Linked DNA regions of Canis lupus familiaris. The protein of the gene in region 1 purifies or fractionates together with the protein of each later gene. This does not show direct contact. Links are inferred from orthologs where the notes say so. Each region holds a gene or a part of one and is shown in the gene's direction. Other genes may lie near its edges.

Region 1 (5,591 bases):
TTTTTCCTGCCCTTGGTCAGATCTACTTACCAATATTGATGATTGTATATATGGAGAGATGGGTAAGGGATTAGGATCAATTAAAATCCCTAGGTTTTCACAGAGAAAAACTAATGTTTAGATTTTATGGTAATTATTTTAATACTATTAAGAGTGGAATCTTATTTAAGGTCTTTGTATTCATAATACCTAGCACAATGCCTGGAGCAAATAATAAATACTTTGTTGAACTAACTTATTAATCGGTTTCCCCTGCTAAGAAAAGCGAGAATTCTTAAAATTTAAAGTGTTCTGTGAACTTAACCACCATTTTAAGTTACAATTGTTCATATTAATATTTTGTTCAGAGTTAGTAAAGATTGAGGATGACTTAAGGCATGGATTTGTACCTTAGCAATGGGTTTCCTTATGAGCTACACATAAACTTGCTCAACCACTGTCTCACACAGGTTCACTATTATGAAGATGGCAATGTTCAGTTGGTTAGTCATAAAGATGTACAGGACTCAGTAACTGTTTCGGTGAGTGTGGAATATTTAATATCTCATTTGTGCCTTGTTTTTCTTTGAAAAATTTGATTTTGATCCTGAGTATTGATTCTGTCTCTAGAAATTCAGTTTGTTTTCAGTGCTTTGATTTTGGCAGTTGATAAAAGTATGCAATCAACTGGCTATAATTAGTTCATGGTGTTTGACTAAATATAATAAATAATTATGTAATATAACATAATGTGGGGCACCTGGGTGGCTCAGTCAGTTAAGCATCTGCCTTCAGCTCAGGTCATGATCCCAGGAGCCTGGGATTGAGTCCTGCATTGGACTCCCTGCTCAGTGGGGAGCCCGTTTCTCCCACTCCCTCTGCCCCTCCCCCTGCTTGTGCTTTCTCTGTCTCTTTCTCTGTGTCAAATAAAAAAATACAATCTTTTAAAATACATATATATGTGTATATATATAACATAAAGTAACATAGCATGATATATTGACAAATAGTGATAATAGCTTTAGAGAATCCAAACTTCTTTCTCTCTTTCTCAATTGTGGATTTGCTCAAGGACAGCAAAATCTTCAATCAGTAAATACCAGAAAGAAGGAGTTTTCCAACAAATCCTGTAGAGCTGCATTCGTTTCACTAAAGAAACTGAACATTTTTAGGAATATCCAATTTAAAAGTATTGTGCCTAATTTTTTTTTTTTTTTTACATTCGCAGTACTTCTTTATATTGTAGAAGTTATTGAGCACCTTCAAATAGGTATTGTTTGGGGTGCTTGGCTGTCTCAGTTGGTAGAGCATGTGACTCTTGATCTCAGGGTCATGAGTTCAAGCCCCATGTTGGTTGCAGAGTTTATATTTTGGGAAAGAAAATCTTAAAAAAAAAAAAAAAAAGGACACCTGGATGGCTCAGTTAGTTAAGCATCCAACTCTTGATTTAGGCTCAGGTCGTGATCTCAGGGTTGTGAGATCAAGCCCCACGTTGAGCTCTGCACTCTGTGCCCCACCCCCACCCTACTGCCAACCAGGAACATGCTCTTTTTCTCTCTAAAATAAATCTTTAAAAAATAAAATAAAAGATAATTAAGAAAAACAAAATAACCAGATAGCTTTTGTTTATGTATATCTACAATATTTACCTTATTAGGCGTTAAAACTGAGAAATGTTAAATGTATTTATTAATTTAAAAATACAATAACAAACCCATTACTTTTTAACCTAAATAACATTTTCATGAACAACAACCATATTTTCCAAACCAAAAAAAAATTATGCAAAGAATGGCAGTGGTTGACATTTTTACAAATTGTATAGTGTCTGACTAAATAAAAGACCACTGGATTCTCATATGTGCCCACACATTCCATTAGCTGTCAGAGTGATGAAGCCATCGCACATGTAGCTTCTGAGACCTGCATTATGCACACTTGAGAAGGAGAGTGGAAAAGCAAATGACTTGTCTTAGTGTTGTTGTAAAAACAAAAGATGGGTTTGACTATTTGAAAGAATATGGGGACTGCTGCTTTAGGTAGAAAATCTTACCTTTTACCTTTAATTGTGTTCTACTTTAATGATGAAAGGAAGAGAGAGAATGAAACCAAATAAACCAAAGTGAAAAGGATATGTTCAGTTAATATTGTACCTGAGTCACATAAAGCAAAATGTGATGGTTGGCTTAACATAAGTAGCAAATAGAAGAGTATATAAGTTTAACATATATGGCTAATAGCGGTGAGGGCATTGTTTATATCATCTGAAAGCAGAGATATTTTCAAGGCATATACATTTCAAGATATTGTGATGATGTCTTTTTGGGCATACCATGGTAGATGGAAAGAACATGGGGTCTCCTGGCAAAGACTGGGATTCAGACCCCATCTTTATCTTTCAAGAGCTGTATAATTTTGGTCTAGTCACAAGGATTCTGTTTTCTTATCTTCAAAGTGGAGGTGATGCTAATAACAGGTCTACTTCACAGAGTTTTTCTAAGAATCAAAAAAGATAACATGCAAGGGAGCACTTGACAACTATAAATTGTTATACAAATATTCAGATTTCTTTAAGATGGTCTTTTCAGTATCTTTTTATTCACTCCTTATCCTTTTTAAAAAATTCCTATTTCCCCCCTTCCTCCATTAGAATGAAGTCCAGACTGCCAAGGAATTTATTAAAATCATAGAGCATGCAGAAAATGAGTATCAGGTAAGATCTGGAACTAATTTTTCTAGATCTTTAGTACCTTATTTTGCTGTTAACACATTTCGTTAGACTTCTCTTTGTCCTTTTAACATAAATATACGTGTTACTCAGTGTTAGTAAGTGTGGAGACTATAGACCTTGCAATTTGGCATTATGCTTACAAAGTTTCAACATTGGAAGGGATTATAGATCTAGTTTTAGAAATACTGTAAGTGGGCTTCTTAACTCACTTCAGAAATGGGAGAGGAGCTTACTAGGAATAGTACATCCTGTCTATCTTTACAAGACTCAGGCATGTCCTTTGACTACAGAGTTACTTTCCTAATCACAACCATCCTTTTCTGTTCAAGCAACTTATCTTCAATTATCTGTTGCAGACAGCAATTAGTGAGAACTATCAAACCATGTCAGACACCACATTCAAGGCCTTGCGCCGGCAGCTTCCAGTTACCCGCACCAAAATCGACTGGAACAAGATACTCAGCTACAAGATTGGCAAAGAAATGCAGAATGCTTAAAAGCTGAATGTAGGATTCTTCAGTACATGGAAAGAAAGAATTCAACATGCGGTCATATGATAAATAAGTGATTTATAAACAAGAGTGATATTTTGCTAGGGCTTTCAGAGTTAACAGGTTTTCTAGCCTCATGGAATACTGTTGAACCGATAGCATTGTCTTGATTCTTTTGTGTTCTCTGCCTTGTAATTTTTTGTTTTCACTCTATCTACTTGTAAATTTTTTCTTTTTTTAATTCTGCCACATTTAATGATGGAGAGAGAGACAGGCAGACAGACCTATCCTGGAGTCATTTTACTGTTTAGAAAATTTTCCTAGCCATGAAGCCCTGTTACTGATATAGACAGGTAATATGCTCAGTACTTTTCTACCGCTATCCTTCAAAACACTTCTGGTACTTCAGCGGTTTTTACTGATCCACCAACAACAGCTAAAGAGGCTATGCTGCAAACTAGCTGAATGGAAGACACACTCATCCTTCTCCCTCTGACTGCTTTGATCATCATTTATAACATCTCATAATTGTAGTTTTGAAAGTTTAGATTGGGCTTTTCAGGTCCTTTTGTGAGGGCAAAGGAAGTTTTCTGGAAATTCCATTATAGCCAACTTCTCTGGGGAAGTTGTTTTTAAATCCAAAGACTTGAACCACATTCCCTGCACATGAACATGTTTGCTTTTTTCTCTTCCCTCATTGTCTCCTTCCCATCTAATATCATTATAGTTAGAGACATCTGCATTTTTAGAAGAGTTTTACCTGTTTATTATTATTTTGTATTATTCAAAAACTGCTGACCTACTAGGGGTGTAGTAGAGTATAAAACTTAAAAAATGCAGATGTTGAAGGAATACTAGGTATCTTGTGCTTTAATACTTTGTGGCAGGATTATACTATAAGCAGATGAGTCAAACAACTATGTAAATCACAAACAAAAAAACTAAAAATGAACCAAAGTGAAAAGGATATGTTCCAGGCAGTATCTTTCTATTGTAACCTGTTATTTAAGGGAATACTAGTGATTCGTTCTAAATAGGATGTAAAACTTGTTCCAAATTACTCCTCAGTCCTGCCTGCCAAGAGCTCAAATGTAACTGTGATATAGCAACCCTTCCCAGGTGTATTGGCAGGTAAATGTGTGATCTCAGAATACACAGGTGACATAGATATGATATGACAACTGGTAATGGTGGATTCATTTACATTGTTTACACTTCTATGACCAGGCCTTAAGGGAAGGTCAGTTTTTAAAAAACCAAGTAGTGTCTTCCTACCTATCTCCAAATAAATGTCAAAAAAGAAGGGTGTTTGTGCTTCAGCTTTGTTTTTGCTCAGTAATACAGTCAAGCAAGTTTGTTTCCAAGTGACCTGTTGAGCTGTGTAAGCTTTTTTGTTTATTTCAAATAAAATATATTTGTATTATGTGTCATTCATACTATATCCATTCATACCACACTATCCTCTGTATCAGGTAGTCCAATAGAAATATACCTGTTTTGTTCTTAAATTGTCTGAGTCTCTCCTTTTCAATCCATCTCTTCAGTTTTTGTTCTCAAGGTAAGATAGAATTGTGTGCAGTCCTATTTGATGAGGATGTTCAGGGTTTCTTAAATTGGTTCCTACCTATTACAGATTCGGTGATTATCCAAAGACTTGGAAAGAACAGCTTTTTTGTTTGTTTTTAAGTTTCAGCATTGTCTCTATGGATAATACTGTTCTTCACCTAAAGGCTATGGATGAATCAGAGGGTTTGTTGTGTGTGTTTTTGGTTTTGGTTTTTTTTTTAAGATTTTATTTTTAAGTAATCTAATCTCCACTCCCAACATGGGGCTCAGACTCACAACCCTGAGTTCAAGAGCTGCATGCTCTATTGATTGAGCCAGCCAAGCACCCCAAAGTTTTTGTTTTGGTTATCCATTTCTAGTTATCTTCTGTGTTTGTCATTGAGAAAGCAAGGCCCAAATATGGCTGTAATCACTAGGAAGTAGCAATGAAAGAATCCCTGTACCTTGAACTTGGATGAGATTTTACACTGACTTAACCTCTAAATGCAGCTTTCCTTCCAAATCTGACTTAGCTACAGACATGAGAGAAAGGCTTTTATCCTGGTTCCTGAGAGAACCAGAGGAGTTTCAGTGATTCACATTCCATCTGAGGCCAGTTCAAATTCCCCACCTTTTGGGGGAACATTTGTTGTACTATACTCTGTACTTGTAGTGCAAACAGAATCAAATCTTCTTGCCTTTGCCTTTAACTTATTAACTCGGTCAGCCTGTCCCCAGCCTATCCCATTTCCCTAGCCCATATAGACTTTTGTAAAAACTCTTAATCACTTGGCCATCTAAAGCCCTTGGTTATTTGTATAATTGGGAGGAGGTCAGCCCTCTTT
Region 2 (5,379 bases), on another chromosome or scaffold:
CGGTGTGGCTGGGAGTGAGAAAAGCCCTGTTAAAGTTAGGGGTGGATTGGCTTTGATGGGTGAACCTGAAGGCCCAGGCCCTTTTCCCTCTTGCTGCTATAGGGACAAGTCAAAGAAAAAGAAGAAAGTAAAGGTGAAGATGGAAAAGAAATCAACGCCCTCGAGGGGCTCATCATCCAAGTCCTCATCAAGGCAGCTAAGTGAGAGCTTCAAGAGCAAAGAGTTTGTGTCCAGTGATGAGAGTTCTTCCGGAGAGAACAAGAGCAAAAAGAAGAGAAGGCGGAGTGAGGTGCGGCAAGAGTTTAGGGGTGAGGGGCCTTGAGGCAGAGGGGTGGATGTCTGAGGGCCAGGGGCTGTGGTAGGTCTGTGAGAGTAGTGAGTTGGAGTGGAAAGGTGCAGTTCTCAGGTTCTGAAGGCGAGTGCTGCAGTGGGGGGTTGGGGGTGGGTAGGGAATTAGGGATCCTTCACCACTGAAAAGTGGCTCCCTGGGAGGGCAACCAGGACTCTAAACCTTTCCCTTAAGAGACCTTTGATTTTCAGGACTCTGAAGAAGAGGAGCTGGCCAGCACCCCCCCCAGCTCAGAAGACTCGGCATCAGGATCTGATGAGTAGAGAGGAAGAAAATTCTCTCTCCTTGGGCTTGCCCTGTCACAACCTGCAGTCTCTCCACCCGTGTTTTGGTACCAGTTTCTCATGAAATGCAGCCCTTGGATTTTGTGCCATCTTGACAAGCTCTCCTGGTGACACGCACTTCACCGGGGCAGCAGGGGAGGTGTCCTCCTCTCTACTGCTTCTCAAGGATGGCTCTTGATAACTTGGGGAGAGATTGGGTGGGGCAGTGCAGTGCAGGGTGGAATCCTGAGCCTGCTCCTGCGACCTTAGGGATACGGCTGCTGCTTCTCCTGTTCAGGTTGCTGCAGCAGGGGTCAGGTGAGGGCAGGCCATAGCTCCTAACGGGGCCTATTTCTACTTTTATTTTGTATTTCTGGTCTGTGAAAAATCAACATTTAATAAAGGGAACTGACTTTGGAAACCATGTGCTAATGCCTTCTCTGTAGCCCTGCTGCTGTACACAGGCGCCCGTGGTCCGGGGGTGGTGGTTGCCGTACTGTTGTGATTGGGCCGGGCCCTGCTGGCCAGCCGGGAAGCAAGCCTCCAGGTACATCCTGTTCTGTTCCCGGTTGGACGGGCATTGGTTTTCACTCTCTCCTGCGGGGATGGGCCACCTGAGAGTCTAGAAACCAGAGCTGATCTGATTAGGAAGTCACTCTCACAGTTTCACTCCATTAGCCCCGCTGAGGGGAGGCAGCCTCTGGCTCAGTCCTTCATCACCCGAGTCAAGGGTCTTCCATGGCTTTAGATAATGGAATAAGGATTGACCGGGCTGCGCGCAGCGGGGGCGACGGAAACCCGAGAGCGGAGAGCGGAGGGCGGTGGACGGCGAGTGGTGGGGGTGGGGGTCAGGGTGCAGCCGAGGTGTGCAGCGCGGGTGCAGCTTTTGTTCTGGTGGGGCGGTCGCGGAGCTTCCGTCCGGGAAGGGGGATAAGAGCACATAAGCGAGGGCCGGCTGGAGAGCCGGGGCCCGCGGCCGCCCCCACGGCGGCTCCACGCCTCGACCGGTACACGTGGAGCGGCCACGTTGCGCGCGTTCTCAGGTGTTCGCCGCAGGAAGCCCCTCCGGTCCGCCAGCGGCGACCTTCTTTCTCGCCGGGACTCTATGGTGCTGCAATCAGGGCCCGCGGCCCGCGGAGCCCGAGCACGAGCCCGAGCCCGAGCCGGAGCCGGCCGCCCTCAGGCCGCCTCTCTAGGCAGCCGTCTCGGTGGCCATCTCGCCCAAGCGCTCCCAGCCGCCGAGTTGCGTCAGTTTCGCCGGGGTCCGAGCCCGGGGCAGGCCCCTTATTTGCAAGACTCATAAATAATTGAGCGCCGGGGCTGCCGCTCATTTGCATACGGCTCGGCGTGCCCGGCCTGGGCTTCCCGCTCCCGGGTCCCACCGGCTCATGAATATTCACGAGGCGCGCTGGGGGCGGGGCCCTGGGCGGAGCCAGGGGCGGGGCCCCGCCGGGGCTCGCTCAGGCTTGGTCCCGCGGTGACGGCGGCGGCGGCGGCGGCGAGGACTGGCGTCGGGGCGCCGAGCCCGAGCCGCGCGGAGCCGGATCCCCGGGGAGCGCGTGAGTGCGCGGGGGCGGGCAGGAGGGCGAGGGAGGGGGCGGGGTCCGGGATGGGGGCGGGGGAGAGGCATGGAGGGAGTGGGCGCTTTCCTGCCGGGACCTCGGGTCGTGGAGGTGGTGGCGGGGGGCGGGGGGCGGGGGTCAGCGGGAAAGTTTGCAGGGGCCGGGGGCGCGGGGGGCGCGGGGGGCGCGGGGGGCGCGGGGGAGCGGGCGCGTGCGCCCGGGGGCGGTGGGTGCAGGGTCTGGAGCTCGTGCTGGCCGAGCTAGAAGAAAGGGGGGAGGGGGAGGGGGCGAGGGCTTGAGGCGGGGCCGGGGGCGGGCGGAGCTGCTGGAGGGACCCCCGCCCCCTCCCCGGCTCCCGCGGCACGCCCCCAGCCACCCCAGTCCGCCCCCACCCGGCCCGCGTCCCCAGTCCCTCGTCTGTTCGCCGGCTGCTCAGCCAGCGCACCGGTCCTCCGCTTCTGCCGCCGCCCCCTCCTCCTCCTCTCCCCTCCTCCTCCTCCTCCTCCTCCTCCTCCTCGGCGGCCGGCGTCCCCTCTGTGTCCAGGGCTCCCCACTGGGCCCCTCCAGACGGCCCCTCGCCCCGGGCTGTTCCGTCTTCCCGTTGCCCTCCCTCCTCCGGTGGTTTCCGTGCTGTCCCTGCCGACCTCTCTGGCCCCGGATCCGGCCGGAGATCCCAGGGTCCGTAGGGGCGACCCCGCTGGCGCTGAGGGCGCGCTGGGCCGCTGCCTCCCCGGGCTGGAGCTGCCCAGCCTCTCCCCAGCCCCCCTGGTGGCCTTTGCGCCCGGGGGTCGGCTGGTCCCCCGCTGACTGTTGGGGCTCAGGAGTGCTCAGTGCTGCTGCCGTTCTACAGCTTTTGGCTACGGCCTTGGTCACCTGGGTTTCCTGGCTGGGCCCTCTGAGCTTCTGTGGCCCTCAGGTGGGGAAGCCGAACCCCCCCCTTCATTGCTGCAGCCCCTCCTACTGCAGAGGTGCCCATCAGGCCCCCCAAGTGAAAGGGTTTTATGGTTCTGGGCCAATCTGTCCCCATTTCTAACCACCCACACCATGTCCCTTTTAATAATGTTCAAGGACAAGGAAACAATCTTGTGTGTTTTTAAATTTTTTTTCCCCCTGTCGTGCGCCCCTCCCCCATGCACACTCGGACTGGCTCTGCACAGTTATCACCCACCCACCGCGTGCGCTGCTCCCTTGTAGTTGGCTGACCAAGGGATTGACGGTCCTGGGTTTGTCTTTACCCTTGTCGTGTTTTCTCCCATCTTAGGAGCCAGCTGGGGCAGGGGCAAAAGTGAGGGGTGGTTGGGTTCTGCCAAGGCTGGGCCCCAGGGGTCTCCTCTCAGGATTTGGCGCTGTCTCCCCCAGGCCAGCTGGAGTGGGTGGTGAGGAAAGCAGTGCCCCTTGCAGGCGGGAGAGGGTTGGGCTGTCCTCAGGGCTGCGGGCATGCCCGGTGATGGGAAGCCTCCTCCTGCCTTAGGAATGAGAGGGGTAGGGCTCTGGAGCCTGGGGGGTCTTGTGGGTGGGATGGAGCTAGAATGGGAACTGAGGAGGTGGTGGGGTGTCTGAGGAGCAGGTGACAAGATGGGCCCGCGGGAGTGGAGGAGTGGTTTGGAGTGCTGGCAGCCTGTGGCCTGGGGAGAGGAAGAGGCAGTTAGTTACCAAGGATCTTAGCTCATTGGTGACCCTGCATGGAATCCTACTAATGCTGGCCAATATTTGCTGGATACTTTTTATGGGTTAGGCGTGCACTCTCACATAGGCCTCCCGCCAGTCTCAGGTAAAGCTGTGTTTCACATAGGGAAACTGAGCCATCGAGAAGTAAGCAGTGTGCCTAAGGTCACACAGCTAAAGAAGTGGTAGAGCCACTCAGCATTTGAATCCTGATGTGTCAGACCCCAAAGCTCCTGCTTGAGGCTTAGAGGAGGGGCATCATTCGGTCTCTGCCATAGGGCTGTGTTGCTTGGTTTAAAATTTCTTTGGCTCCCCCTCCTCAAAATCCCTGGGACCGACCCTGGGCTGCTGAGTGATGCCCAATATCCCCATTTCATAGGCTCTCCCACCCTGACTGCCTAGAAGGGGGAACCCCGGGGAGTTATTTCCCCCAAGCCACCCCACCCCCCGGATGTTCTCAAGTCCTGTCCCATTCTCCCAGCCCAGGCCTGGGCCGGCTCCTCCTTCCTCTTGGCGAGGCTCTGGAAATCCAGTGGGAGGCCATTGCTATGGCAACAGGACTAGGCCCTGGCTTTACCTCATCAAATTCCAAGCTGAAGCCAAAGCGATTGAGAAATTAAAGAAAAAAAAATGTATTCCAGATGTTTACTTTTTATTCCTTATTTTTCCGTGTTTGGATGAGACGGCTCGGAGGGAGGCGGGAGTGGGGCTGGGATGTGGAAGGAGAAAGGGGGGGGCTGAGCGGGGAGAGGGAACCACTCCCAGCTGCAGGGGGAGGGGGGAAGGAGGGAGAGCGGGAAGGGGGAGGCAGGCGGCGGGGCGGAGCCCCAGGTTGGGGAGGAGCGGGTTTTTCCCGTCTCCCATGAGGTGATTCACAGAGGGACCTCAGAGCTCGCGGCCCTCTTGCTCTGCCCCTGAGTAGACGTCTCAGGCTGGGCCGCCGGCCCCAAGGGGTGCCCTGGGAACGGTAAGTAGGGGGTCTTGGAGAGCTTGCCCCTGGGAGCAGCGGGTCCCTGCCGCTCCGGGACTTTAGGGTGAGGAGCCCGGAGTTTAGAGAGTGGTCTGGGAAGAGCGGAGGTTACAGCTGTAGGGGACCGCTCTTGACCTCCCCAACCCCCCTCCGAAGTTCCTGCTTCCTGTCCCACACTCTGCCTCTGCTGGAAGTAGGAGACTTGTGTCAGCTACGCCTACTGCCAGTGCCCAGCCCCTCTGCCTTCTCAGTCTCCCTCCCTCTTTTCCTGGGTCTCCAGCCCCCCGGCTCACAGCCCTCTGCTCTCCAACTCTTCATGCAGGGTCTGCCGCCTGTGATGAAAGTGTCCGCTCTCAGGGAAGGCACTGCCATGGCTTCCCCACCGCCCCGGGAGACGGAGGAGGAGCTGGGATCTGCTGGCTCCGAGCCAGGTACCTATGGGTGCAGGGTGGAGCAGGGTGGCTGGGAGGAGAGTGGGAGGGGCAGCAGCCGAACCCCCTGCTCTGTCTTGGAGGGGGTGGGGGAGTGAGGGCAGGAGGTACGCTGCTGGGGATGTGCAGGATGAGTTCT

What was found. Proteins that work in one complex are often made in the same cells at the same time.
Region 2: the proteins of CAPZA1 (region 1) and TNKS1BP1 purify together in Homo sapiens (affinity purification with mass spectrometry; 3 studies listed by BioGRID and IntAct, with this or other methods). This does not show direct contact. The link is inferred for Canis lupus familiaris from reciprocal best matches to the Homo sapiens genes CAPZA1 and TNKS1BP1.

The regions. Positions count from the first base shown.
Region 1 is NC_049238.1:63,624,694-63,630,284, reverse strand, and holds the end of CAPZA1 (F-actin-capping protein subunit alpha-1), read left to right. Parts: intron 1-449; coding exon 450-521; intron 522-2,629; coding exon 2,630-2,692; intron 2,693-3,066; coding exon 3,067-3,207; 3' UTR 3,208-4,631; downstream 4,632-5,591. UniProt on the Homo sapiens protein: F-actin-capping proteins bind in a Ca(2+)-independent manner to the fast growing ends of actin filaments (barbed end) thereby blocking the exchange of subunits at these ends.
Region 2 is NC_049239.1:39,279,302-39,284,680, forward strand, and holds the start of TNKS1BP1 (182 kDa tankyrase-1-binding protein), read left to right. Parts: upstream 1-2,065; 5' UTR 2,066-2,171; intron 2,172-4,645; exon of another isoform or gene 4,646-4,806; intron 4,807-5,131; 5' UTR 5,132-5,146; coding exon 5,147-5,240; intron 5,241-5,379. Other genes in the region: FACT complex subunit SSRP1, read left to right, coding at 103-289, 541-612.